5 linked regions of the Rattus norvegicus genome follow. The protein of the gene in region 3 purifies or fractionates together with the protein of the main gene of each other region. This does not show direct contact. Links are inferred from orthologs where the notes say so. Each region holds a gene or a part of one and is shown on either strand. Other genes may lie near its edges. The genes, in order: Ap1g2, Ap1b1, Ap1s2, Ap2b1 and Ap1m1.

Region 1 (5,786 bases), on a different chromosome or scaffold from region 3:
TCCCTCCCTCTCCTGGGGGTTAGGGGGAGGCTGTGCAGACAGAAAATCGAGAGAGGTGGAGAGTTTCTCCAGAACCCTCTGCTCTGATTGGATTCCAGGCCTTCTCCCATCTCCTAGCAACCACATCCTCCCTCACCCCTTCCTCCCTCTGCCTTACTGCAGTACTGGCTGCTGCTGCCAATGTCTGCTGCTAAGGCCAGGCACCTTCTGCCTTGCCCACATGATACGCTGAGGGATGGGGAGAGCGGTGGTGGTGGTGGTGGGTGGAGGCAGTGCCTTCTATCTTCAGAGTGTGAGGGCAGGGCTCTGCAGAGAAGCGAGGCTCTTCACAGTCTGAAATCAGCTCCTCTACTCTTACCTGTGTGTGTGTGTGGGGGGGGGGGGGGTCTGGGACCTTTCGGCTTTGCCAATAAAGCCAGGGCAGGGAGGTGGGACCTACACTTGCCTTCCCGGACTGACTTCACTTCGCCCTCTGTCTCTCTAGGGAGCTGCCAACCCCCTGGTGGTAGGAGCTGTGGCCTTGCTGGATCTCAGCCTGGCGTTCCTGTTCTCCCAGCTCCTCACCTGAGGCAACATCCTGGCTTCCTCCGGCTTGGTTGCCTGCCTCTGCACCCACTCTGACCTTTGACCTGCCTTCTCTTCTCTCCTCCTCCACCTACCTGTGTTTTCCCCTTTCCTTTCTCCCAGGCCCCTTTCTTTTTGTCTCTTGCTTCTTCCTTCCCTCTATTCTTTGAGATGGTCTCATTTATTCTGGACCTGTCTCTGGTCTTCCTGGTTTTCTTTCCCACCCCAACCCCTCTTTCTCTAGATTGTTTACATATGAAGGGCTGTTCTCTCTCAGAGTTGCTCTCTCCTCTGAGATACACAAATCTAAGTCAGACCATTGCCCCCCATGTCCTCCCCAACCTTTTATTTGAATCAAAACTTCACCAAGGGTAGGGGTTTGGTGTCCTAAGGAATCTCCTGGAATCTGAGTGGAAGGGAGAAAGAGAACACTTATGAAGTGACTGAGTGGCCAGACTAGGCACTGGCTGAGCCACTTGGGGCTCACTGGCCCCCATGGAAAGCTTCAGGGAGAGTACCCTCCACTCTTACCTCCCAGAACCTACCTAAGTTCTTGCCTAATTCAATCCTTCCCTGAGGGAGAAAAGGGGAGCGAACAACAGGAAGCTCCCCATGCTCCCTCTCCTGTCCTCCTCAGCCAGTCCCTCTCCCAACCCCCAAGGATGGCACGCCAAGCCAAGAGCAATGGGCAAAGCAACGAAAACCATCTGGTACACCAAGCCCGCCCCTCTCAGACTCTGCCACTCACCTCTCTACCCTTCTCCGCCCCCTGAAAATTTATTTGGTTGGTCTGGACTCACTTGTGGCCTTTGATTAAATTCCTAAGGGGCCTGAAGAAGACATTTCTGCCCAGGGTCAGAGGCACTGCAGCAAGCAGGGACCCCACTCCAGCTCTGGCGGTTGTGGGGAGCACACGGAAGACGAGGACTGAAGGGCAGCAAATGCTGCCACAAGTCTAGTTCCCAAGCCCTCACATAGACTCCTGTGAGGTGGGAAAATAAAGGGGATCTGAGGAACTCGCTCGCTGTCTCCCACACTTTCAGGCAGGGCAGAGGTGGGTGTCATCCCCAGATGAGAGGTGGGTGAAGAGCCTGTCTGAGATACGCTTGATCCATCGTCACTAGCTTATCCTCTGGGGACAGAAAGCTCTACAAGAGGGAACTGTAGAAGCCCGGGGGACTCTCCTTCCCTGCATGAGGCAGAGGCAAGCGGCCTGCCAATCCCCTCCTCAAGGAACGGCCTTGCCTGGGAATGCCCACCACACAACCTTCTTATTTTTCTAGTCAACCTCTGTTTACTCCCTGGCCTGCCTTCCTCCCGCCTTCCTTCCTTCCTTCCTTCTCGATCTTTACTTCTGATTTCTATTTCATGGAATTTGGGATTGACGTTATACAACAGTGCCGACAACATCAAGTCTTGCAGGAAAAAAAAAATACAAAGAAATTTAACAAAAAAAAGTATATTAATAAAAAAGTTCCAAAAAGGGGGGGACTGTCATCTCCTTTGGGGTGCAATGGCTTCTGACCCAAGTGTCACCTGATGGGGCGGATGAAAAATGAGGCCCCTGGGGGAGCCATAGTCCTGTAACAATTCTAGGTTCCTTTATCAAAGTACCAAAGAGGCCAGAGGTCAGAAATCTCAAGTAGGCTCAGCAAGGAGGCCCTAGAGGGGCGGGTCCCGTGGTAGAGGCGGGGAAGAGGGAAGGGCCCGAGCAGCGCACCAACCCCAGCTCTGTCCCATACCAGGAAGTCCTGGGTAGGGGGTAGAAGAGCAAAGCTGACACCGGAGCCAGGTGAGCTTGGGACTGGGGAGCCTTCTGTGGGAATGGGGGCGAGAAATCTCGCAAAGGCAATAGCGCAGAAAACCAGGAGAAAAACTGGAGAAGAGAATCTGGCCGGGGAAGGAGAGTGAGAAATAGACTGATCTGAAGCGCAGGCTCAGTAGAAACAGGCACAGGGTGGAGCAAGGACGCATGCGTAGTGGGGATGTCCTTGCGAGGCGGGAGAGTGGCTCTCGGGTCCAGGTGGGAGGTAAAAGTGGACACGGTTTTAGGTCGGCGGTGGAACGCAATCCTTTAGAGATCTTGGCTCAGGGCAATTCTGTCCAACCGGCTAGAACGTGTTAAATTAAGCCTTTCCAACTCCCGGGCTCTGTCCCCAGGATGGTGCCTTCGTTGAAACTTCAGGACCTAATCGAAGAGATTCGTGGGGCCAAGACGCAGGCCCAGGAACGGGAGGTGATCCAGAAGGAGTGCGCCCAAATTCGGGCCTCCTTCCGCGATGGGGATCCCCTGCAGAGACATCGCCAGCTAGCCAAACTTCTCTACGTCCATATGTTGGGCTACCCCGCCCACTTTGGACAGGTACTGGCCTGGGATGGCCCCAAATTTTGAGGAAGATGGCCATTGCGCCCCTTTGTATTTGTACCCCCCGCTGTGTTTTTTTTCCGCCAGATTTTTTGTTTCCGAAACAGGTTCTGTATAGTCCCGATTGACCTAGAACTCGAGAAAACCCTGCCTCCGTTTCAGTGTGGGGGTTTTCAGGCATGCCTCACCCTGCCCAGTTAAATCCTTTGGCTTCTGAGCCTTTTATCCATCACCCTACTAGTGATTTCTTGGCCAGCCCCGTTCAGCACCTCCCCATCCTCTTCCAGCTTCTACTCCTACACAGGTCCCTGAAACCACCCTGCTGTCATCTGGATCAACACTTAAGCCTCTGGTTACAGAGAGATGAAATATGATTCCTCACGTTAATCTGGCCTAAAGGAGGTTGTAGCGGGGAAGTTAGTGCCTGTGGTTTCACCCTGCTCCTCCTGGTCTGCCTCATTCCCTATAGATGGAGTGCCTGAAACTGATCGCCTCCCCCAGATTCACAGACAAGAGGGTGGGCTACCTTGGGGCCATGCTCCTATTGGATGAGAGACACGATGCCCATCTGCTCATTACCAACAGCATCAAGAAGTGAGAGGGTCCCGGGGCCCTTGAAATCAGGGCGCTGGGAGAGTGGGAACCGCAAAATCCCAGAGGGGCTGCCTGCTATCGGTACTGCGCCGACGAACTGGTTTGCTCAGATTTGACTGACCATCCTTCCAACCTTACAGTGACCTGAGCCAAGGGATTCAGCCAGTTCAAGGCCTGGCCCTGTGTACTCTGAGTACCATGGGCTCTGCTGAGATGTGCCGGGACCTAGCCACCGAGGTGGAAAAGCTGTTTCAGCAACCCAGCCCCTATGTGCGTAAGAAGGTGAGATGTGGGCGTTTGCCTCTCCAGAACGTGCTCTCAGTCTGCCGTGGAAGAGGCATGGCCTCTAACGTGGTGGCCCTTTCTGAGGCCCTCGACCTCTGCAGGCTATCTTGGCTGCAGTGCACATGATCCGGAAGGACCCCGAGCTCTCCAACATCTTCCTCCCACCCTGTACCAAACTGCTTCGTGAGCGCCATCATGGTAAGGGTCCAGGGATCTCCACTGTCCACTTCTGGTCTGGCTATGAATAGATGACGTGAAAAGCAAATCAGGAAGAGCAGCTCATCGGATAAGGGCGGTGCACACACACAAACACACGCGTAGTAGACTGTCCCATGGCCTGGCCCACCATTCACTGCCCCGCCCTGACCCCAGGCACCCTGCTGGGCACCATCACGCTGATCACGGAGCTCTGTGAAAGAAACCCTGCAGCCCTCAGACACTTTCGCAAGGTGGGCTAGTGAAGGGGCAGGCCGTGGGGCAGGCAGAGGTGGATGGTGGGTGCTCAACTGGGACTGATGGTTGAGAGGAGACAGACAGGCAGAACTCAGACAAGGCTGGATGTGCCCGTCTTCCAGGTAGTGCCCCAGCTGGTACAGATCCTCCGGACTCTGGTGACGACAGGATACTCCACAGAGCACAGTATCTCTGGAGTCAGCGACCCCTTCTTGCAGGTAGGCTGAGCTTTACTTGCCGTATTCCCAGAACAGAGAAGGCTTCTCAGGAAGACCTTGGCCAGTGGTCACTTCCCGTTTGGTCACAGTCCATGTCTTGAATAAGAAGGTAGTGAACTCAGGATTGCCCTAGTTGTCCTAAGACTGGGGAAATGAAAGGTGGCTACCAGAAAGTCCAGTTTGGTAACCATTAAAAGGCCTATTCCAAAGCCCAGTATGGTGGCCGAGGCAGGTGGATTAAATGAGGCCCATGAGTGTGTAGTGGGCCGGGTTCACAGAGTGAGTTCCAGGACAGCCAGGGCTACAGAGAGAGAGAAAAAAACCCTTCGGTTTTAAACTCCCCCAACTCTATGTAACTCTGACCTCCTCCCAGCTCATCTAAGGGAGCTGTAGAGGTGAGAAAGAGTTGGGCCCCTTGCAGTATTTGTTGTCTACACTGTTAGGTCTTTTTGCCTCGGGCCCACGACCCTACCCTGTGAACCACTCTGATCCAATCTCAGGTCCAGATACTCCGCCTACTTCGGATCCTCGGACGGAACCATGAAGAAAGCAGCGAGACCATGAACGACTTGCTGGCCCAGGTGGGAGGCACGCCTTAGGCCTTGTGGTTTCTTAGGGTCCATCAGGCCTGCATACTCCCCAGAGGACCATTCACCACGAAGAGGCCTTTCTGTCCCCGCCCAACCGACGAAGTCCATGCATTCACTGGAACCCTGTACAGATGCACCTCTCCCCCATCTGCACAGGTAGCCACCAACACAGACACCAGCCGAAATGCAGGCAACGCAGTCCTGTTGGAGACAGTACTGACCATCATGGCCATCCACTCTGCAGCTGGCCTCCGGGTACCACTACACAGTCATGTGCTCTTCTGCTGTGGCCCCACCTACTCAGCTAGTCCTGGTCCCTGGCTTTTCCCTAACCCCCATCATGGAGGAGATCCCACTGAACAAGTGGCTTCTTCCCTTACTGTCTCCACCTTCTTCCTCCCACAGGTTCTAGCTGTTAACATTCTCGGTCGTTTCTTGCTCAACAATGACAAGAATATCAGGTAACAGCCAGTATGGGGCTAGATTGTACCACTATCCACCTGGCCCTCTGCATTCCTCCCTTCGGATCCACCTAACCCTTAGGTATCCTGGAGGCAACACGGGTTATCAAGGCTGGTACGCCCATGTGATGTGGCCTCTCTTACCCTGACCAGGTATGTAGCTCTGACATCGTTGCTGCAGCTGGTACAGTCTGACCACAGTGCTGTGCAACGTCACCGGTCCACCGTGGTAGAGTGTCTACAGGAAAAGGACGCC
Region 2 (5,145 bases), on a different chromosome or scaffold from region 3:
CACACCCATCCCCCTGCACACCCATCACCCCGCACACCCATCACCCTGCACACCCATCACCCTGCACACCCATCACCATGCACACCCATCCCCCTGCACACCCATCCCCCTGCACACCCATCCCCCTGCACACCCATCCCCCTGCACACCCATCCCCCTGCACACCCATCATCACCCTGCACACCCATCCCCCTGCACACCCATCACCCTGCACACCCATCCCCCTGCACACCCATCCCCCTGCACACCCATCATCACCCTGCACACCCATCCCCCTGCACACCCATCACCCTGCACACCCATCACCCTGCACACCCTCTAAGCTCCTGTCGGGCTTCTCTTTTCAGCTTTGGCTTGGCCCCCGCTGCGCCACTCCAAGTGCACGCCCCACTGAGCCCCAACCAGACGGTGGAGATCTCCCTGCCTCTTAACACGGTGGGCTCAGTCATGAAGATGGAGCCTCTGAACAATCTTCAGGTGTGTCCCCACAGGGCCAGACACCCCATTTCTACCCACCTCAGCCAGGAAGCAGGAAGCCTGAGAGAATGGTGCCCTCGGCTACAGCTGGAACCTGGGCTAGGGGACAAAGGGCATGGCCACAAGGGAGGTCCTGTGAGAAACCCGCTCTGGACACCCTGCTTGGGCCCTAGGAGGTGGGATAAGCCCAAGAGTCAGGGTGTCAAGCCCGGGGACTGACTGGAGACCCCCATGCCTAGGTGGCTGTGAAGAACAACATTGACGTCTTCTACTTCAGCACTTTGTACCCACTGCATGTCCTCTTCGTGGAGGACGGGAAGATGGGTGAGTTTGAGGCCATGGGGATTCGTGTAGTAGGACTCAGCTAGGGAGCCTGGGGGACGAGTGCCCTGACATAAGGGCCAGAAGGACAGCTTTGCCTTATGAGGGGGTCTTCAGCTGCTCCTACCTGGCTTGCAGGTGGCCTGTGCCACCTTACTTGTGAGCGCTGCTGCTCACCCTTATGCTCGTCCATGGGCTGCAAAGAACCAAGTCAGTCACCATGCCTGGAAGCTGTGTGGCGGGCACTCACCTTTGCCACTGGCCCCAGAGCCGTGTGTAACAAACTGCAGAGGAGAAGACAGTGAGGTCAGATGCTCGTCAGGCAAAGGAGGGGCAGGAAGCAGAGGGCATTGGAGGGAACTGGAGGAGCAGGTGCCTGCCTTCCTTCACTGCCATGTGGTGCTGAGGGCCAGACTTTATTAGGCTTCTATCTCTTATCCTGCCCTGTTGACCCTGTAGACCGGCAGATGTTCCTGGCCACATGGAAGGACATTCCCAACGAGAATGAAGCCCAGTTCCAGATCAGAGACTGCCCGCTGAACACAGGTGAGTCCCTCCCCGCCCGTATTCCACCCACTGTGTCCCCTGTCCCCACTGATGTGGGCCTTCCTTCCATGTCTGATCCTGCAGAGGCTGCAAGCAGCAAGCTGCAAAGCAGTAACATTTTCACTGTCGCCAAGAGGACTGTGGAGGGCCAGGACATGCTCTACCAATCTCTGAAGTTGACCAATGGCATCTGGGTGCTGGCAGAGCTGCGGATCCAGCCAGGCAACCCCAGTTTCACGGTAAGAACCCCTGTACCCACTGCCAGGTCCACCTCCCTGCCCTGGCAGGGCTTCCCAAATCAGCCACCCTCTGCGCTGCTAGGAGACTGGGATGGGTGTCACTGTGCCAAGGTCTCTTTGAGCCCAGTGTGACGATCGGTTCTTAAACTTCCACTCAACCCCATCAGGGTACCCAAATAAGACACCAAGGAACATAAACACATATCCCCAGACAGGGAAATAGTCTCTCTGGCTATAGGAGTTGGCCCCACTGCCATACAGGTGCCTGAGTGCCTGGCCAGGGGCACTGATGTCGGCGGGCCATGATTCTAGACCGTGAGTCAGAGCCATCAGAGGATGACTTCTCGGGTGGGCTGGGTATTTGTAAACTCTCTGCTGTTCCCAGGCCTAGAGTCGAGGCTTTGCTTCCCCCACACCCCTGCCTGGTAGGTGTGGCCCTTCTGATGCTGGTGACCCTGGCACTGGTGGGTGGGGCTGTGGGGTAGCTGAGGTGGTAATTTCCGTCTTCCTGTCTGATTGCTGCATGCCCACCTTCCCTGCTGGTGCCATGGTACAGGACTTGGAGGTTAGCGGGTTGCTTCTCTCTTCTGTGCCCACCTCCATGCTTCCAAGCAGAACTACGCATGCCTCGGCTCCTGGTCTGGCCCCAGTGCATTCTGCTTTTCCCTGTCTCTTGGCCTTGCTTCAGCCTCATGCTCCCAGCAGATGTGCATGGGGGTTGCCAACACCAGGGCTTTCCAGCCACTTGCACATGCATGGTGTGCAGAGCCCTTAAAGGGAGGCCCATGGGGGCCACTGCTGCTGAACCCAGAATTCTGCTCGCCACTCCTTCATAGTTGCAGACCTGATGTTCTCAAGTGGAAGGGCCAGTTGGTTTCCGTCCCTCCTGCCTGGAATCTCAAGGCTTAGACCTGGGTGCAGCACTGGGGCAATTTCACACACTCTTGCTTCCTGTGCAGGAACCAGAGCGATCCCCACTGTCCTTGCTGTCCCCAGGAGAGATCTGCTCCCCCTTAACCCTTTGCCCACCAGGACTGTATGTCAGAATTGCTCCTGACCTAGACCTCCAGAGGTTGTAGAGGGACAGACAACTCAGAAAGGGGGTGGCTGGGTACTCCTGACGGCTGGTGAATCATGCCGCCTGCCAGTGGCTCCGGTGGCAGAGCTGAACAGCAGGCATGGGGGCTGCAAGTATATTTGGTTCCCGGCTGTGATGGCCACCCCCTCTGCTTTACTTCACATCTGCCCCACTCTTAGCTTCCAGCCTGCTGTGTGTGCATGCGACACGCTCCTGCTCGCTCTCCCATCTGGTGCCCGCTCTCCCCATCCCTTTACTGAAGAGCCTCGGGGATAAGTTCTTTCCCTGCCTCCTCTTCTCTTGCAGCTGTCCCTGAAGTGTCGAGCGCCAGAGGTGTCCCAGCATGTATACCAGGCCTACGAGACCATCCTCAAGAACTGAAGTCCCTCTCGCATCCACCCCAGCCTTCTGCCAGCCCAGCCATGGAACCCTGTGGTGGCAGCACCTCCTCCTTTCTTTGGGGAGAAGCCAGGTGGGCTCCTGACCCACCCAGGAGGCTCCCCTGATCCTAACTGAGGGCCTGGAGCAGGGCCACGTCTCCTAGAGTGAAATCTCCGTGCATCTCCAGTGGCTGCTTTTTTCTATTGCTGTTGATGTGGGATCAAAGGAAGTGGATCCAGCACAGCATCAGAAGCTGGACGGGGGCCACAGGGTGCTCTTCCTTCTGCTCTCCTGGGCGTGAACATGGAACCCTCCTGGGGTCCCAGCCCATAATCCCTGCCCTGTCTCCTCAGTGAGCCTGTCTGGGTAGAGTCCTCTGGGTGCCAATATTACTGTTTGGGACTCTGAGAGCTGGAGGTGGTGATGGACAGACATGAGCCCAGGGGAGCAACCTGGGCTGGCACTGTCTGCCCCATATAACACCAGTTGGTGCTCTGTGACCACCTGCATGGCCCAGAGCCCATCTAGGATTCTGTTCCCTTAGGCCCTGGAGGATGGTCACTGCCTACCAAACATTCCTCGGTGTCCTCTCTGTGAGTCCAGGGCTCTCAGACCAGAAGTGGGGTGAAAGGTGGGGCAAGGGGCAGTGGGACCGCTTCTAGTGTGAGCTCCTGCACCCACTGGCTGCCCTGGCTCCCCAGTCTGTGTGTGACAGTGACAGGTTGATCTGTCGCTACTGTTTGATAATAAAGAGATTCTGCTTTTGGCAATCATGCGCATTTCTTCCCCTCTACAAAAAAAGGCCAGCCTAAGAAACTGCTCTGATAGCCGGGGATAGTATCTGACCCTGCAGTGATTATATCTAATGCATATAAATGAAAATATATATTGTATATTTACCCTTATTTTCAAAAGAGAAAGCAAATAAAAAATGATGATGTTAAGTGTGTTCCTGGCCGGTGTGTCAGGTCATAAGGCTCCTCTGTGCGGGAGTCCGGCTCTGAGGCCATATACCTGACTGTGGTCCCCTCCCTTCATTCTGCCTACTGTGGCCTGCTGGAGTCCCTGTCACCTTCCTGCCCTTGGTGTCAAGTCCTCCCAGCTGATGCTGTGTCCCCTTTGATCCAGGGAAGGGATTGTTGCATTCGAGTTTCCTCTTTCAGGCCACCTTAGAGCGACAGGAATGACTGGGTTGGGTGGACAGGAGAGGGCTGGGCAGTGTTGCATGTGTTTTCCTGGGGACAGTTATCTGAGGAGAGTTTTATGGAGAGATACCCAGAAAGAGGACTCACAAGAGGCTAAAGAAACAATTTGTCCAAGGAACATGAACAACTCACAGGACGTCGTACTACCCAAGAAAAGTGCCACCTCAGCACTGTTAGCCTCTTTTTTTTTTTTTTTTTCCGGAGCTGGGGACTGAACCCAGGGCCTTGCGCTTCCTAGGTAAGCGCTCTACCACTGAGCTAAATCCCTTGCCCCCACTGTTAGCCTCTTAACTACCCTCGGGCAGGGAAGGGTCTCTCGACGCCTGCTTCCATGAGACGTTGGTGGACTTGGCTTTGTGATGGTCTTGTGCAAGTAATCATGGCACCTCTGGGTTCAGGACAGTATGACCAGTCATAGCACGTCTGAGCAGAGTCCCATAGTATCCTACCCCTTCTTCAGCTCCTTGGCGGGGGGGGGGGGGGGGGGGCGTTGTGCTAGTGGGCTATGGCAATAGCCTCTTCTCAGTACTTTGGCCAATGAATCTCTGCAGTATGCACTGCCCACTGCCTAAGGAAGCATCCCTATCCAAGGCCCACGGAACAGAAATCTCACAGAACTAACATGCCCATTAGCCTAGGACTTCGCCAGTCACAGTTTATGTGTCGATAAATGAGGGTTCCCGCTGTGGAGCAGACCTTCAGTCCAAGTAGAAGGCAGTTGGTTGCGCTCAGGGCAGTTGTACCACTCAGCACATTGTGCCTAGCAGGCCGGTGTTAGCATGCTGCCTGTGTACGTGGTTGAGAAGCAACACTGAGAGGCCATTTGTCAGAAGCCTGCACAGCTCCTGGTGTCAAGGAAGCCGGAGGACCCTCCCAGCCCTTGCCAGATGTCTCCATG
Region 3 (5,936 bases):
GGGCCAACTCACCACTCACAAATTCTCATCTTTTATAAATTGAAATTTGAACAATAAACTGTTTTTCAAATCCAGGACCTGTCTTTTGTGCAGAGAGCAGAGACCAACTGATCCAGGGTGCAGGATTCTTATTTCTGATTCTAGAAAAGCAATTCTTTTCTACGTGTTTTATTCACGATTCTATCCTTGGGCAAAAAGGTTGTGTGTGTGTGTGTGTGTGTGTGTGTGTGTGTGTGTGTGTGTGTTCTTAAGGCATCTTCCAGTTTGCAAATGCTATTATCTTTCTCAACAAACACTAAGCCAAACGTTGGATACAAAATCACCCAAACCGATATGAATTTATCTATGAAAGGAAGAGAAATCTAATGTACTTAAGAGTGTCTCTATGTCCTATTAATCTCCATGACTTCCCCTGCCACCTCCTCCACAAAACCCATCCATATTTGAAATGTAGTGATAGAAAACTAGACTTCTCTTTACCTTCATTGAATTCCATACTGTTAGTTCTCTGAGCACTCCCCATACAAGAGAATGTTTTATATGAAGAAATGCTTTTATCTTAAATTCAGTAAATTATTCAAAGGGGATCAGAAATAAGGGAAGAAATAAGGAAATGTTCCTTCAAAAACATTATATAAAAGAAATTATATTTCTTTTAAACTGCTTAGAAAATGTTTGTTTACCAACAAAATAAAGATGTGTAGCATTAAAGAAAAGAACTGTGCAAAAAGCTATTTTTTAATAAGTTATTTTGCAACATCATTTAAAAATATCCATCCGTGGTAAAATTATCATATCTAAGCATAACTCCTTCACAGCAACAAGTCTATTTCAAATTAATAAATGCTATTAGGAAAGAGATACTGTATATATACAAAGTATTTAAATATCTGTATAATGAGATAGTCTATGTGTCCAGGGTATTTATGAATAAGATTGATTCTAAATATCAGAAAAGAAATACCAAATATCGGTTATTATTTTATAAATTTGTTGTAAGAAAGAGTTATTACACTGTTATCTATGCATATCTGAATTTATTAAAGTACTTAAAAATTTAAAATACTGACCCTATTTACTCCTATAATAAATCTATTAAATTATTCTAAAATGGTGATTAAGCATGAATAATTGTCTCTCTTGTTTATATAATTAGTTAAAAAATGATTCCCCTAAGGCAAGCAATCAAAATAGCAGTTACTTATTTTTAAATGGAAAGTTTTCCTTCAAATTTATTTCATTTAAATATTAATCTTTGTTTATTGACCTAAAAGTCTGCAATTTCCTCATTAGAAATAACCCTAATGCTTGACAGTACTTCACCTTTCTGATAAATAAAAAAAGGATTACCTTTTATAAACAATCTTCAGATCTCTCCACTCAAGGAAGCTGCACATCTTGGGTTTCCGTGCTAAAACGGTTTGCACAAGTTCTCTGGTGATTTTCTTCTTCTCTTTGTCTGACAGTGGGACATACCATTTCTGCAGTCGAAGCTTTCCCTGACGACTAAAAAGCAACATAAACTGCATCTGTTAAAATAAATAAAATCAAGATTACATACAATTACCTCGGAGCAACAGTTAAGAGCACATGATTTTCAGAGCCGCTTTGGGGGGCACAGTAAACGCCCTGACAAATGATCAATAAGCCATCAACATTTCTATGGAGGTTATAATAGCATGGAATTCTTTTGGAAAGATCTTCTTACTATATGTATGTAGGTAAGTGTAGAAGAGAGTGTGTAAAAAGCAGAACAGGTGGTAAGCTGGAGTGAATTTTTTGAAGAACAAAAACTCTGATAATTTCAGGAAACAATTTTCTACCTGTTCCACACTCCACCACTCTACATGCATCAAAGGAAAATGCAGACATCAGGTAGCTGATTTAGGTACATTTCTAGGAAAGAGGAGACCTACTATTTTCACCCTGAGGCTATTCTAGTTCCAGGCGGAATTTCAAGCACTCCCTTCAATTTATGCTAGCATATTTTAAACAAAACAGAATATTAGTCAAATATTTCACAGTACATTTTAAAGACAAAAGTCTGATTTTTTATGTTTTCATTTCTCTTTTATAAAATACAACATAAATAAGCACTCAAAAACTGAGTTAATGTCTGTAAAAGAGAATAGAAGTTTAAAAAGCTTTACCCAAAAGTTACCCATATTGAAACACAGGATATTTAATTTAAAACAACATTTTGAGACATCACACAGTATACATCTTTTAAAACAAACAAACAAACAGAAACCACATTCGAATGTATGCTGGATTCAAGTATATTTTATATTGAAGCTAATTTGTATGGATTTACTTAGCATTTGCATGTCTGTTGGTCAGTCTGTTTTCTAAGGCATGTATTTTATAATTCAACTGGTAAAAATGGGCTGTATTGTAAAGCTAATTTGAAGGTAAAATTCGGATAAGTGTTCTGTTTTAACCTTTTTAAGTTCCTTTAACAGTGACAGTGCAAGTAAGATCCTCTCAAGGACAATTCTTAATATTCACCACACTACCTTAAACATGAACACACGGAGGAGGAATTTACGTAACTAATATAAAATCAAATTGGCTCTAAATTTCGACAGGAAAACCACCTCACAATATAACAAAAAGGCACCAAGAAAACATCCGGATATTTATGGCGTAGCCATTTAACTTTAATAAAGTTAAAATTGGCTATTACTCCACACAACACTCTATATAATTCATTGAGAGCAAAGTGCTACCCGTGTAAGTCCTTAAGACAGCGGCATCGAAGAGAACGGCAAGTAAAGCATCAACTGGACATTGAACGCCGACCGTTAACAGAACTTGGGAAAGGAACCGATCGGTTTTCTTAAATCTCGACCAGGAGAGACGGTTTGCTAATGACAGGGGTGTGCTCTAGGCTATCTGTAACGGGGTCTAGTATCCGCCCTAACACTTTGTAGAACGAAGAAACCAAGCATTTTCCTCAAAACAAATGATGTGCTAACATGGGACGAAACCCGTGGCACAAGTATTCCTTTTCCCTCGCTTTGATTTTGCCTCAAATCCTGGGACAACAATTTCTCCAGATTGGTATTAAAACAAAAACAAAACAAAAAACAACAATGAGCTCAGCCTTGGAGTGGGCTCTGGTCCAGCATCCCTGGGGTCCCGCAGTCTTGGACGCCTCCCCTCCTCCCGGGACCACACTCCATCAGTGCCCAAAGCTGGGCGATGTGACCGGCAAGGAGTGGAGAGAGACAATGGCATCCGCTGGCCCGCCAGGGGCGCCAAGTCCTCGGTCGCCACCACCCCGGCCCCTCCCCAAAACACCCCGTCAAACTTGAGGCGATCAGCGAACCACAGGTGCCGCGGGGTCCCCGTGGAACCCAGGACCGTCCCCCGTATCACCGGCGCGCCGCAGAGTGGAGAGCGGGGCGCTACCGCCGCCAGAAGTGAGTTTTGGGGCGCGGCGCCCCAAGAGGACTCGGGGTGGGGTCGTCGGGGCGCTCACGGGGCAACGGGGGGCGCGCCCCGGCCATCTCTCCCTCTTTCCATCCCTGCCACCTCAGCGGACTTCTTCAACACTTACGGCGGCTGCGGGCCGCGGACGCGGCGGAGCTTGGCTGGCTGCGGAGACTGAGGCGCCGGCAGCTGCTGAGGGGAAGCCCCCGTCGCCAGGCTGTTGAAGGGAAGCCGTGGTGCCGCGGGGAGGGGACCCGTCTGGTGGAGGGCAGGCTTAGGCGGCGAGGGTAGGGCGAGCCAACAGATCCCGCCCTGGAGGCTGGACGAAGGAGGAGCCCAGGCTGCGGTGAGCTGAGAGGCGGACCAGAGGACGCGCGCCAAGCTGCCGAGGGGGCGCCAACCGCCTCTAGAGTCAGCACAGTTGCCGGCAAGAACGAGAAGCCGATTGGTCAAATGGCCACAGGGAAGGCGTGGCGAGGGCCGGAAGTCTGGCCACGTGACCCGGAAGCGGCTTTGGCTGTGGCCGGCACGCCTGCGTACTTATGGCCGTGCCGCGGGGACGCAGCGCACCCGGCTGTCCTGGCTTCCTCAGTGGCAGGGTGATGGGGTTCCGCGGCGCCCTTAGCTGACCCCGTGGTGCAGGCTAAGGATGGTCCGCACTACAAAGAGCTGACTTCGAGCTCCGATGACTCTCTGGGTCCCCAGAGGGTTGGACGGGGAGATGTGACAGTGGGTGATGATGGTGGGAGCAAGGACAGGAGTGCTGCAACTCTGGGGAAAATAAGTCAGCGCTTTCGTGGTGCTCGCGCCCGCGTTTGCAAGGAGGCCCCTCCTCTCCAACGCAGTGCTACAGCCCTAGCTAACCTAGACACTTCTGGCCCCAAGCTTTGCAAGAGCCTTTCTGCAGGGCTTGCTTCGCCCAGCAGTGCGGCGGACTGGATGAGTTGTGGTCCGCTCTCTGCTGCAAAAATCCAGACAGCGCTTAGTCCTCCAGATCCCGCTTCCTTCTCACGGTCTCGCCCCCACCTTCCCCAACCCGGGTTCCAGTTTAGCTTTGCTGACGACTCGCTCTGCTTGCCATGCCCTTCCTCTAATGTCACATCTATGAAGCCTCACTCTAAAGCCCTGGAACAACGAATTCCTCTTTTACCCACATGCTTCTGTTTAGTGCACCTTGGATTTTATTCGTTTAACAATCTAGCTCCCTGCCTGGTTTTAACACCACTGATAAATGTGAGTTGCCTAATAAAATTATAAAATAATGATAGATTTATTAAAAGCTGAAATGTTGACTTAGTTCTGGGCATATGATGGATTTCTATGTTTTATTTGAATGCTGGAATGGATGGATCATCTAGTTCAACTTATCATTTATAGATAAGGGGAGTGGAGATCCACGGGATTAGGTGACCTTGCTTGGGCAGCGATGGATTTCCCATGTCAAATGCTACTCATTACTACAGTCACCTCCGTCCCTACAAAAAAAAAAAAAAAAAAAAAAAGCCAGAACTGAGTATTTGTTGGGTATGCCTTTCTTTGCAGAGATTGCTAAACAGGAATTGTAAATTAACCAATGTAAGGGAAAAGATGCTACATTTTTAGCGAAGTTGTGTTTATTCAATTTAAAGAAACCCCTTATTAGAGATCAATGTTGATTTTTATGTCTTACAGTACCAATGTAATAGGATCATATATGATAGGAATTTGAGGTCATTTTGTAAATGCTTTTGTTTAGCAAAAATAAAACTAGAATATTTCCCCTTTTCCAGCAATACTATGCTGCTTGGAAAGTTTCATATTAGCACGTGTGAGTGAAATATACTAAAGTGAGCAACAAAAAGCAGAATTGGCTTTTGGTGGGTCTTTAGGCCCCCCCGGCCCAAATTTCTGTTTCCTGTTCAAACATGCCCCTGAAATGCTAATGTCCTTTCTCTTCCTTCATACAAGGAACCGATGTTTTTTAGCCAATTCACAGATAGCACTAATACTACATAATGAAAAACTGCCTTCTAATTCTAAACACTGCCTTTTCTTTTTGTGTGCAAAACACCTGTCTTCCAAGGTTCCTAAGTAGTCACCTCCCAAGTTTAAATTGATTGGATATGTTACTAACGTTGGTTAGTAGTAGCTCGGGAAATGATGGGAGACTTGCTAATTGGCAGTTTCATTCTGTGTTCCTAGCCAGAGAGAGAGGAGAGAGAGAGGAGAGAGGAGTGAGGAGAGAGAGAGAAGGAAGGGCTGGGGTAGAGAAGGAATTATGGGAAAATAATTAGCAGCTGAAAGCAGCTATTACATAATCTTGGCTGCTTATTAATTTAGCAGAAGGAATGGCTTATTAAATTCTAATAGCAACAGCAAAACTGCAAACAACCTACAATTAACAGAGCAGGGCCCATTATTTTGTTAATACGTTCTCTTCCTTTGGCAAGTATATGAGTACAAAATTTATAGAAGCAGATGGTCTTTTTCAGTAGATTATAGATGGTTTATTCCCCAGTCTT
Region 4 (6,008 bases), on a different chromosome or scaffold from region 3:
GTTTCTGCCTTGGACCACTATATCCAGATAACATGAAATTCTAACAGGAATTCTCAACATACTCTGTTCACCCACCTTAAGGCATGTGTTTATTAGCAGCCTACACATTTCATGATTAGTATGATTCGATTCCTAGCACCCAACCCGGAGACTCATCACGGTCTATAACTTCAGTACCAGGGAATCCGACACCTTCTTCTGGTCTCCTTGGGCATACACACATGATACACTGACATATACACACAGGAATAACACCCATACACATAAAATAAAATAATAATAAAAAGAAGCCTGCAACATATATCCTAAATCAAAAATCTCTGTTCTCTAACAAAACAGAGATAAAGAGAACCAACTACTTGGGAACCTGAGGTAGGTCTGGGAATTTTAATTAAAGTCTGTCTTAAAAATAAAATAAGGCTGGAGATGGCTCAACAGGTAAGAGCACTGACTGCTGTTCTTCTAGAGGACCCATATTCCGTTCCTGGCACGTACTTGGCAACTCATAACCATCTATAACTCCAGTTCCAGGGGATCAGATGCGCTCTTCTGGCCTCTGAGGTCAGAAGTGGTGAACAAACCTATGTGCAGTCAAAAATACCCATATATGAACTAAAATAAATAAATAAAGGGCTCAGTAGTAGAGGGCTTGCTTAATATACAGAAAATCCTGTGCTCAATCTTCAGTGGCATTTTGGATTAGGGATATAGCTCAATGGTAGAGTGCTTACCTAGCAGGTATAAGGCCTCTCCATCATCAAAAGGGAGGAGGAAAAAAAAAAAAGGAAAAAAAAAAAGCAGGTAAATATATCACTCATTTAACTGACACCATAGTCAATAATTGTGATGAAATAATTGCCATCATACAGGCAGAAAAACAAGGCATCCAGTCTATCCTTAAGGCGGGGGCAGAGGTGTGGGGGATAAGGGAGAATGAAAACAGTCTAAACAAAAGCACTGTAGAAAGAAAGGGTTGGGGGGGCTGGGGGAGCAGCCTAGACTTAAACACATTATATATTTGTATGAATTTTAAGTATTTAATTAAAATGAGAAAGAGTGGTAGTGACAGAACCTTAATGTCCCTGTGACTCTCAACTCACAATTCATATAACTATTTTTTAATAAAGACCCTCCCAAACACTTGCCAAATATTCAGTCAAATTCTCCAGTATAGGGTGTAAAACTGGTGCCCACAGTAGAAACCACACACACACACAAAGCCACAATAGAACTGGAAAAATACAACTTCAACTTGCCTAGTGCTTCAAAATTCAAAATCCTACTGGGGCAAAATTTTTCAGGAAATCCCTAGAAATAAGCAAGCCACAATGGAATTTGAACTTACACCACCTTATACAACATGAAACCTGAAAGGTCACTGACTGACTTAAGGTGTGGCCTAGGGACATTGTTAAAGGACAGAGCAGCCACCAGGCAAAGCAGTAATCCTTGAACTTGTCCTAGCCCACAGTATTGCTTCACTGCCTTTCACAGTACAAGGGTATAGATCTAGATTAACATAACCTAGTTTCTGCCAAATATAGGTTGTCAACGTCCTTTCTCTCCTCCCAGCCTTCCCCTCCTCCAATTTCCCCAAAGAGCAACTCAACAGCAAACCAAGATTAACAGGCTGGGTAGAATACAGTCAGAAACAAATTAGTAAGGTCTTAATTTCAAGTAGTTGTCTGGGAAATGGCAGCCAACGTTAGCACTGGCAAGGCCACTATGCCCTTCTTTGCACATGAAGTCAATAACTAGCCAGAGTTCAGTAAACTGCAAAGCATTAGTGACATTCCAGGAACCTCTGCTTATAAGGATGAGTGGTATGAAGACCATTTCTGGCTAAAATGTTCATAACACCAGGACAATAGCAGCTTCAGATTAATTAGCTTATCAGAAATAAAACATTTAAAAGCTAAATCCACCTCTGGCTTCTATTTAAACAACTACAAGTTAATTCATTAATATAGTATTATGCGTAAAGAAAGAAGCCCAACAGTTTTACACCCAACTGTTATGAAATTCCAAGACATTTGGGGAAACCTAAGCCTAGGAGGAAAGAAGAAAAATGGGGATGATGTCCTCTGAATGCTCCCTGTCTGACTTGGTTCAAATGTGTGCCTTAAGAGGAAAGCAATGACCTTTTACAGGGGAAGGGGATGTGAGGGACTTCTCTGAGTCTTATTTTCTCAGAATGTTTACTTTGTATTAATTTACCACTCAACTTTAGGGAGCTTTTTTGCAGAGCACACTCCCCTTTATTTCTCAGGGAGTCTCCCCTGCAAGACACCTACTCTGCTCTCATTTTACATGTCCGCCCGCCTCACTTAGTCATCCCGGGAATGTGTTACTGGTGGCTGCACCTACTTCACCTGCCGCTTTCTATTAATACCTTGTAAGTGCACCCTGAGGCTGAGCAGTAGAACTACACAAGGAAAGCAGGTGATAATTTAGATTGTTCCTCTCTGAGACCACCTTCTTTTCAGTTAACTTGCCTTGCTGTGCTTATAGTGTGTCCTTTGTCTTTTAAACCACAAAGGTCACAAAAGAGTTTGGCCATTTTAAAAAAATAATCTCCCTTCTAAATGATAAAAAAAAAAAAAAATTCAGCGAAGCATCCATGACAGATTCATACTGCTTCATACCTAAACTGCTTGAGTTTAATAAGAGCCTTCCTCTAAACAGGGCTGCTCAAAATACTAATACATCCTGAGAATTCAAAGAATAAAGAAATGGCAGGAAATTCCAGTTTTTTCACTTCTAGTAGACTTTTACAGCCTTGCCCAAACTAGACTGCTCCTAATAACCCCGGGGAATAAAGGGAGCTAAAAAAAGAAAAACAATTCCAGGCTAAGATTTACTTTCACTGGCTTCCCCCTCTCACACAGGAGGTCAATTACGCAAGTTTCTCCTTCCTTTCTCGAAGAACATTATTTAGTCCCCTATTCTCTTTACCCACTTCCCTCCGCAGGTCAAGACCCGGTCAAGAAAACTGTCCAGGATAAGGAGAGATGCCTCCGAATACGGGTGACAACGGAGGTTTCAGTGACCAAACGGTCGCGGGAATCCTTTCTCCCTAGGCGTGCTGGACGGACACGTCCAAGCTTCTTTCTCAATGAACAGATGCCAAACGGGAAATCTAGGTGGTTCTCCCTGGGCCTCCAGCGGCCACACCCCTGGCCTGAGCCCTACCCAAGCCGGTCTTCCGAACCTTGCTTCGTTTTGAAGCCCCCAACTATCGCTGCTACACCGGAGCTCAGCCCCAACCCACCACGGTCACTACGAAAGAGGTACTTTCTCCAAGCTTTTCCCTCACAACGGTCACACCCGAGGACTCCCTCCATCCTCAACCGTCACGCTCCCCGTTTCTCCTTTCCTCCTGCGCCTACGACCCGGCTTGGGGTTCCCTTCCTTCACAACTACCCCCAGTCAGGGACACACCCCAAAGCCAGCCGCCTTGAACTCACCGGAGGCAAGGGCGGGGTGGCGGCGGCAGTCAGAGAGCACAGCCGGGAAGGTGGTGTAATGGTTTCCTGCCCGTCACGATTCTCTCTAGATCTAAGACACTGCGCAAAACCCAATTTGCCAGGGACAAAGATGGTGGGCCGGAAGTTTTGGCGTAAGAGAATCTCGCCGCCTGACGTCATCCGGGTGCGCGGGAGAACCAAACAGCCAAGTTGTGTCTGTCGCCTCAGCAACGGAAAGGTTTACCTTTCTCAGGGTTAGGGCAGACTAAGGAAACCCGCAGTGGCTTTTCCAAAGGATATCTTCAATACGTAGATATTTTCTTGATTTATTTCCATGAACAAGAATTTTGTTAAACCTGTGTGAGATATCCTATATGCTTAAACACAAACCTCGGCTAATTTGCATGTAAGGTTCAGAAGCCCATAGAGGTGATAGAAACCAGAAGTACAGGTGGGCAGCTGAACTAGGAGTTAGCGACTCAAAGATGCTAAGAAGTATTCAGATCTGAGTTTGAATCCCTACGTTGTACAAGACTGGAGAAACTTATTAGCGCCCCCTTCCTGCCTCGCCCGTAGGCTTGCGTGGTATAAGGTACCCAAAACACTTAGTGGATACAGGTTTCTTTAGGAAACTAAACTGGTACTACTGGTGTTTAAAAAGAAAAACCAGCATTGGGCTGTGTATCTCAAGCAAGCCTGAAACTAAGCCCCTCTTGCTTCTGCCTCTAGAGCACTTTGAACTTCTCTATCTATATATATACCTTGACAGTAAGGCTTAGTGGTTCTCCTACCCAGGCTTCCCTCACTCTACTATTGAACATCTTTAATGTGCATTGGTGTTTTGCCTGCGTGTATGTATGTGAGAGTGTTCGGTCCCCTGGAACTGGAATCTCAGACAGCTGTGAGCTGCCATGTGGGAGCTGATAACTAAACCCAGGTCCTTTGAAAGAGCAGCCAGTGATCTTAACCACTGAACCATCTCTCCAGCCCCCAGATTTGAAACTTAAAACTCACGGCAGGGCTGGAGAGAATGGCTCAGTGGTTAAAAGCACTGGTTGCTCTTGCAGAGGTCTTCAGTTCAATTCCCAGCAACCACATGGTGGCTCACAACCATCTGTAATGAGATCTGATGCCCTCTTCTGGTGTCTGAAGACAGCTACAGTGTACTTCTATACATAAAATAAATAAATTGTTATATATTAAAAAAAAACAAAAACAAAAAAAAAAAAACAAGGTAACCAGGTGTGGTGGCATAAGCCTTTAACCTCAGCACTCAGGAGGCAGAGGTAGGTGAATCTTTGTGAGTTCAAGGATAGCCTGGTCTACAATATGAATTGGAGAGTCAGGGCTACACAAAGAAACCCTGTCTTTGAAAAACAAAACAAAGGGTTGGGGATTTAGCTCAGTGGTAGAGCACTTGCCTAGCAAACACAAGGGTTAGGTCCTCAGCTCCGGGGGAAAAAAAAAAGAAGAAAAGAAAAGAAAAACAAAACGGGCTGGAGAGATGGCTCAGAGGTCAAAAGCACTGTCTCTTCTTCCAGAGGTCCTGAGTTCAAATCCCAGCAACCACTTGGTAGCTTACAACCATCTGTAATGAGATCTGGTGCCCTCTTCTGGCCTGCAGGCATACATGCAGGTAGAATGCTGTATACATAATAAATAAGTCTTAAAAGAAAAAACAAAACAGATGACTTAACCCAGTTACAATCAAGTTAGTTATTTACTGAGCATGTATCATGTAATTTCCTATGTAACTTATGTTTAGTATATATTTAAGATCTCCAAACCTGATGGCCAGGCTTAACCTTTAATGCCTTCTAATAGAAAGGTCAATCATGTGCCTCTATTAGACTGCCCATTTGAAATTGGGGTTTTTAGTGTATTATTTGGTGACTAAAAACTGGCACGTTACCAAAATAAAATAAAAACTAACACTATTTTTCTATTCAGAACCAAGGAAAGATCCTAGGGCTTCACACACCTTGGGCAAATACTCTAACACTGAGTTATATAACCAACCAGGACATACTATTTTTAATTCTTTCCCTCTTCTCATGTAATAATTAGTTTCCTTTTTATAGAGTAGTCTTGTGGGTCCATTAATCAGGAAATCTTGACCCTCTGGCTAAGCATGAAACTAGACTTTGAACCAAGATTGCTCAAATGGATTTTTCCCCCTCTTTTCTCCTCCTTTCTCTTCTCTTTCCTCCTTTCTGAAACAGGGCCTCACTGCCAGATAGCCCAATGTCTCAGGCATTGGGATTACATATGTATGCCAGCACCTTCTGTCAGAAGAATCTGATGGACACAATGACAACCTGACGTTCATTCATTGTAACAAGGTTAGTTGGATGAAATGTTGCTAATTCCTGCTAGAGAACTCTAAGTTATATAGTCCTGCTCCTTTTGAGCTATCTTATTTTGCCAGCTACTCCATAGCTATTTTTTAAAGATTTATTTAAATGTTGTATCTGTACAAGTCTGTGCAGGTACCTATGGAGACCAGAGAGCACTGTATCTCTGGAACTGGACCTACAGTTA
Region 5 (5,915 bases), on a different chromosome or scaffold from region 3:
GCATCTGTCTTCCCTTACACCACAATGCCAGGACAGGAAGCCCCTGTGGCCCACCACAGAAGTTACCACAGTGCTGCTCCATTTGGACCACCTGCACATCAATCAGATTGTATCTGCAACACCATCTGAAGCAAGGGCAGGACACAGGTCTCCAGCTCATAGCCTGTCCCACAGTCCACCCTGTGGATTGCCACAGCAGATGTTGCTAATCTCAGTTCTCAATCATGGCACCTGGGTTTCTAAGCATGTAGCATGTGGCATAAGCCTGGTGGGCACTCCTGGTCTAAGGACACCAAATGCCAGGTGTGACCAGGGCCCAGTGCCAACAGACGTGGTGTAGTGGTGCAGATGCTGCAGCGCTGTGCATCTGAGGGTCTAGGTAGACCACTTGAAGAGTTTCTGCACACTGTTGAGAGACGCAGCTTCTGTTGCCATGGATACTGAATGAATGACAAATGGGTGGAGCTGACATGTATGGAATAAAGTGAATACCAGTCATGGAGTGTGAATGTTGTCTGTACCGGCTGTCCATTACAGGGACACCTTTCCATTCTGCCCGTGTCCCTGAAGAATGAAGAATGCAGTGCAAAAACCAGTTCCGTGTGGGAGAAATCAGATGCTGTTGGGTTGTTGTTGTTGTTCCCCGCGCCCCCCCCCCCCGCGTCCCCCCCCCCCAGCTGGGGACCGAACCCAGGGCCTTGCGCTTCCTAGGCAAGCGCTCTACCACTGAGCTAAATCCCCAATCCCGATGCTGTTGTATTTTAAAGGTGTATATGTGTATATATAAATATGTGGGTATTGTATAATATGTATTGTATGAGTACACATGTGTAGAGGGAAACTTGAAGAATTGACTCCTTCCACCATGTGGATCCTGGGGTTTGATCCACCTCAGGTTGTAAGACTTGGCTGCAAGTGACTTTACGCACTCAGCTGTGTCACAGTCTAGAGGACACATTTATTCCACTGTGTTCACACCTCTCTGAGGGAGATGGTGTGTGCATACCTTGTCTCAAGTGTTTACAACCATTTTGGATTTGGGGATTTTTCCAGATTTGGGGAATGGGGAACACAATGGTTTTTGTAATATGTAATGAGATGTTGCAGTGACTGTCACAAATTTGCATACATTTGATTTCTGTTTGATTTGCCCCAGTGCACAAAGCCTAAAGTAATTTTATATTAATTTTTTCTGTCTTTGAACATAGAATACAAAGTATACAATCTTTTGAAGAATTTTGTGCATGAAACAGATATCAAATTTACTTTTTGAGGTTTTTTTGTTTGATTTGGAGTGGGGTTGGTGGGTCACAACCATTTATAATGGGATCTGATGTCCTCTTCTGGCATGCAGGTGCACATTGCCGGTAGAGTACTGATATAAATAAAATATTTTATAAAAAGAGATGACTACTGCTGCAGTCTTAAAAAAAACTGAAAGGGTGAGAAGGACATACAGGTAGCTCTTCCTACACAAAATGAAGAGCTGGGTTTGACCTCTGGGATCCACGAGATGGAGAGAGAGCTGACCCCACTCGTTCTCTGACCTATGTGTGTACAGTAACACACAAAGTTAAAACCAAGCCCATGGTGTCGGGGCCGGTGTCGATGGGTTGGTTTGATCTCTCAATGGGTAAAGGCGGTTAGGAATGACAGAATTAAAAAGTATTCCGCTGCGCTTTGTACTAAGCACAGGCTAAGTCACACGCGTGCTACCCTGGGTTCACTGGGGTGAATGGGTGGAGCCCATTCAGTTATTGACAGGTTGACACTAACAGGTGATGGATTGTCTCCTCATAGCAACCGGCTTGGAAGCGTCCGCCTTCATTCCACAGCTAGTCCTTAAGCTACTAGGACTACTGACAAAGCTGCCTTTCCCAGGTCCTCCAGTCCCCAGCTCATCTGGAAGGCCCCGCCCCCTGGGACGTACTTCCGGCCCGATTGGGCTGTGGGTGAAAAATACTGCCAAAAGGTTCGTACTGCGCCTGCACCTATTCCGTTGTGCGCTTGCGCACTTACGGCTTCCTTCAGACCGGACATAACGGTCCACGCGCTGCTTCATGGACCGGAAGTGGAGGGGAAGTGTCGTGGGGCGCGCCGGGCCTTGCTGAACGCCGGCAGTTCCTGCCGTTGCCGCCGCCCTCGGCTACTGCCGAGGCCTTCCAAAGCCGCCATGTCCGCCAGCGCCGTCTACGTACTGGACCTGAAGGGCAAGGTACTGAAGGGCTCTCCACCCTCCGCGTTGCCAGGCAACCAACGGGCCCTCGCCCTGTCGGGACCCACCCTGTTGCTAGGCAACTAGCCGACCAGCCGGGCTAGGGCGTCAAGCAAGCGGCCTGTCGGGACCCACCCAGTTGCTAAGCAACTGGCCGACCAGCTCTGCTGGGACGTCTGGCAGGCGGGGCAGCCTCACTTGTCAGCCCCGCCCTGTTGCTAAGAAACGGGCGGTGGTCTTTTTGCGAGTCCCACTCGATTGCTAGCCAACTTGGTGGGCTGAGGTTGCTGTCCACTTTGCTCCTTTCCCTTGTACGCCTGGGTGCAGGACTCTAGCCTCACCTGTGGACTGGAAGCTGCCTCCTGCATCAGGACCCTGCGCCACGGGGACCGTTCGACCCTTGGCTAGAGGCGTGGCGGGGAGTATGGCAATAGGTCAGACCCTCTCTCCACAGTGTACATAAAGGCTTCAGCGCTCCCTAGAGCAGCTGAGCTTCCTGTGACATTAAGAGAAGCGGATGATAAGAGTGTGGTTTTAGAGGGGGAAACACACTGCCCAGAGTCACACAGATTACTGAGAAGTAGCTATCTGGAAGCTTCCTCACCAGACAGGTGCTAAGCCCTGGGCCATCATGGGTTGGCAGAATCTGTCAGCTAAACTTAGTCACTTAGAAAAGCACAAATAGATACCTGTTGGGGCTATGTCTTCATAATGGACTAGCAGTCCCAGCTAAAGGATCAGGGAGAGCTTTCCTGACTGGGAATAACCAAGATTGCTGAGACATGAAGGCCCTGGACAGAAACAGGACCCTGGCAGCTTTCCCAGGGTTATCTGAGAAAGAAAACTTCATTTGTTTGTTTTTGCGGGTGTGCACATGTGTGTGAAGGAAGGAGACCCTCTGCTACCTTTACATGGGCTCTTGTTATCAAACCCAGGCCACTAGATTGATTGAGCTAAGCTGCCTGACCTTTAAAACACATGGATCTGCCTGTCTGTACTTCCCAGAAGAATCTGACTTTTTCCTCCTCTTGGTTTTATGAGACAGGGTTTCTCTGTGTAGCCCTGGCTGTCCTGGAACTCACTCTGTAAACCATGCTGGCCTTGAATTTAGAGATCACCACCACCGGGCCAGATTCTGGCTGTTGCCTGGGATTTGGTATGGAGCTCAGGTCAAAAACTTGGAAAACACTTTACAGACTGAGCTGTCTCCTTAGGCTAATGGATGGTTTCGTGGTGCTGATGATAGAGTCTAGAACAACAAGCCCTCTGTCAGGCAGCCACGGTGTATTCTGTGCAAATGCCTCTTCCAGGAAGGCACATTCAGCCTTAAGAAATGGGCTGCCGCCCTACCTTAGGCCATCAGAGTGGAAGGCAAGTGGCCTACCTCTTATGTTTGGAACCTACCAGAACAGGTTCAGCCACAGTAAACAAGTCCAACATTCATCAGTGAAAGAACACTGATGTCCAGTCTACATGGAGACTGTTTAGAAGAACCTCCCAACCCCCACCCCGTTTTTTTCCTTAGTCCCTTGAGTATATACCTGCCTTGTAGGTCACCCAAGGTCAACAAGTGGTGAGTCCCAGACCTGGGCGTCCTCCACAGCCTATTGGGAAACTGGGCAGGGCAGCGTTCCCTAGGTCTCATGGCACATGCTCTACCGTCCACCCTGGCCTAGAGGTGCAATGGGCTGCCTGCCATGGCTTGCTTATTCCTTTAGAAAACATCTCATTGGAACTAGCAAGTACCCATCCTGGGCTGAAGCTGGAGGGCTAGATTTACATGTGGATCTCTGCAGCTGAGCTGTGTGATCATAGACAAGCACCTTGGCCTGTCTTAGCTTTGCCTTCCTAATGGATCTGGAGTCTCCTGAGTTACTGAGTGTAGATGTGGGACAAGCCTTGCCCTGGAAAGGCCCACAGAACGTGGTACTTGGGCTCCACAGGCCTCTTGGCCTAGCAGGAAACACTTGAACCAGCAGCCAAACAGTTGTTGGCCTTCTGTTTGGCATTCAGAGAAGGTTACAAAAGACTTCCAGGCAGAGCAGACACCTGATGTGGTTCTGAGAAGGTGACAGATGTCCCAGTTGGCATGTAGGGTGTAAAGGTTGCCCATAGACTGTTCTGGGACCTTGGGGGCCCAATGGGAGGAGGCTCCACGGCCACCGAAGTTCCAGGGAGGAGTCCCCAGGATGGGGTTTGATCAGACCTGCCTCTGGAAAGCTTCTCAGGGAGGCTGTAGACTTCCCTTCCAGTACAGCAGTTCTTGGTGAGCACAGGCAAACACACAGTAAGTGGGAGTAAGGATGTCTTGGAGATCCTAGCCCTGATCTCTGTGCTGTGTTACCTCAGGCAGGCAGCTCCACCTCTCTGGGCACTGTAGTCTGTAAAACTAACCAGCCAACCATATAAGAGGTAGCAAGAGGAATAAAAGTGGGCAAGTGGGAGTCCCTCAGCTGAGGTAAGGAGCATCAGACCCAAAAGCTTACCCCTTGTGTGCTGTGTCTGCACAAGGCCCAAAAAGAACTCAGAAGGAAGCGTCCTCACTGCACTCTCCCAGCTAGAAGCAGCAGAGACCGTGCTTTCTGAGGAGCAAATGCAGCAGCAGGTGGTGCCAGTCTAGCGTGGCAGCTCAGGAGAACTGCAGCACTGCCACATGGCCAACCAGCCATGCTGACAGCAGGCAGCGTGACAAGACAGGCACTGTCACCAAGTAACCAGGACCTCCTCAACCCTCACCCACAGCTTCCTCATGGCCCCTTCCTGCAGCCATTTCCTCAGGGTAATTCCAAGGAGCAATTCCTGTTTGGTTCCTTTCACTATGCACAGTGACTCTGAGGGTAGAGCCTACCTGGGCGTCCTCATGTCCTGCAGCTCAGAGTCCCATGTCCTGCGTTCACATTCTTATCTGCCCTCAGCTGACCACGAATGGTTTTGTGTTTTTTTTTTGTTTTTTTTTTTTTTTTTTTACTAAGTGTGTGGGGAGGCGAGAGGGATACGGGTATGTGCGAACGTGTGCAGGCGTCCCTGGAGGCCAGAAGTAAACATCAGATCCCCTACAGCTAGAGTTACGAGCACTTGTGAGCTACCCAATGTGGAAGCTGGGAACTGAACCTGGGTCCTCTGAAAGAATAGCAGTGCATGGGGTTGGGGATTTAGCTCAGTGGTAGAGCATTTGCCTAGCAAGCCAAGGCCCTGGGTTCGGTCCCCAGCTCTGGAAAAAAAAGAATAGCAGTGCACTTAAGTAACGAGCCATTTCCCAACTCCTGGGATTTATTTATTTGCTTATTTGGTTTTATATACATACATAGTGTGTATCTGTATATGTATGCATATATGTGTGTGTGTGTGTGTGTGTGTGTATGCACATACACACACATAATTTTTATTTTATGGTTGTTAGTATTTGACTGCATGTGTGAGGGTGTCAGAAGCCCTGGAACTGGAGTCGTGGATAGGCGTGCACTTCTATGTGATTCTGGGGATTCTGCAAGAGCAGCCAGTGTTCTTCATTGCTAAGCCATCTCTCCACCTCCTGTTTGTTTTTTGAGACAGGTTTCTCTGTGTAGCCCTGGCTGTCCTGGAACTTGATCTGTAGACCAGGCTGGCCTCAAACTCAGGGATCCACCAGCCTCTGCCTCCTGGGTGCTGCGATTAAAGGCCTGCACTGTCATTCCCAGCAAACCTAGGATTTTTTAAAAAG

The links.
Region 1: the proteins of Ap1s2 (region 3) and Ap1g2 purify together in Homo sapiens (affinity purification with mass spectrometry; 3 studies listed by BioGRID and IntAct, counting the BioPlex papers as one, with this or other methods). This does not show direct contact. The link is inferred for Rattus norvegicus from reciprocal best matches to the Homo sapiens genes AP1S2 and AP1G2.
Region 2: the proteins of Ap1s2 (region 3) and Ap1b1 purify together in Homo sapiens (affinity purification with mass spectrometry; 5 studies listed by BioGRID and IntAct, counting the BioPlex papers as one, with this or other methods). This does not show direct contact. The link is inferred for Rattus norvegicus from reciprocal best matches to the Homo sapiens genes AP1S2 and AP1B1.
Region 4: the proteins of Ap1s2 (region 3) and Ap2b1 purify together in Homo sapiens (affinity purification with mass spectrometry; 3 studies listed by BioGRID and IntAct, counting the BioPlex papers as one, with this or other methods). This does not show direct contact. The link is inferred for Rattus norvegicus from reciprocal best matches to the Homo sapiens genes AP1S2 and AP2B1.
Region 5: the proteins of Ap1s2 (region 3) and Ap1m1 fractionate together in Homo sapiens (co-fractionation; 6 studies listed by BioGRID and IntAct, counting the BioPlex papers as one, with this or other methods). This does not show direct contact. The link is inferred for Rattus norvegicus from reciprocal best matches to the Homo sapiens genes AP1S2 and AP1M1.

What each region holds. Positions count from the first base shown.
Region 1 is NC_086033.1:32,545,797-32,551,582, reverse strand, and holds the start of Ap1g2 (adaptor related protein complex 1 subunit gamma 2), read left to right. Parts: upstream 1-2,302; 5' UTR 2,303-2,356; intron 2,357-2,724; 5' UTR 2,725-2,725; coding exon 2,726-2,926; intron 2,927-3,398; coding exon 3,399-3,523; intron 3,524-3,663; coding exon 3,664-3,805; intron 3,806-3,909; coding exon 3,910-4,006; intron 4,007-4,180; coding exon 4,181-4,257; intron 4,258-4,383; coding exon 4,384-4,479; intron 4,480-4,979; coding exon 4,980-5,060; intron 5,061-5,225; coding exon 5,226-5,324; intron 5,325-5,474; coding exon 5,475-5,530; intron 5,531-5,683; coding exon 5,684-5,786. Other genes in the region: Jph4 (junctophilin-4), read left to right, coding at 485-568.
Region 2 is NC_086032.1:84,140,850-84,145,994, forward strand, and holds the end of Ap1b1 (AP-1 complex subunit beta-1), read left to right. Parts: intron 1-347; coding exon 348-477; intron 478-716; coding exon 717-801; intron 802-1,257; coding exon 1,258-1,344; intron 1,345-1,428; coding exon 1,429-1,583; intron 1,584-2,967; coding exon 2,968-3,042; 3' UTR 3,043-3,986; downstream 3,987-5,145. UniProt on the Homo sapiens protein: Subunit of clathrin-associated adaptor protein complex 1 that plays a role in protein sorting in the late-Golgi/trans-Golgi network (TGN) and/or endosomes.
Region 3 is NC_086039.1:34,227,001-34,232,936, forward strand, and holds the start of Ap1s2 (AP-1 complex subunit sigma-2), read right to left. Parts: upstream 3,685-5,936; 5' UTR 3,563-3,684; intron 1,530-3,562; coding exon 1,351-1,529; intron 1-1,350. UniProt on the Homo sapiens protein: Subunit of clathrin-associated adaptor protein complex 1 that plays a role in protein sorting in the late-Golgi/trans-Golgi network (TGN) and/or endosomes.
Region 4 is NC_086028.1:68,598,299-68,604,306, reverse strand, and holds the start of Ap2b1 (AP-2 complex subunit beta), read right to left. Parts: upstream 3,585-6,008; 5' UTR 3,468-3,584; intron 3,416-3,467; exon of another isoform or gene 3,272-3,415; intron 3,074-3,271; exon of another isoform or gene 2,960-3,073; intron 750-2,959; exon of another isoform or gene 732-749; intron 1-731. UniProt on the Homo sapiens protein: Component of the adaptor protein complex 2 (AP-2). Adaptor protein complexes function in protein transport via transport vesicles in different membrane traffic pathways.
Region 5 is NC_086034.1:17,632,568-17,638,482, reverse strand, and holds the start of Ap1m1 (AP-1 complex subunit mu-1), read left to right. Parts: upstream 1-2,108; 5' UTR 2,109-2,173; coding exon 2,174-2,215; intron 2,216-5,915. UniProt on the Homo sapiens protein: Subunit of clathrin-associated adaptor protein complex 1 that plays a role in protein sorting in the trans-Golgi network (TGN) and endosomes.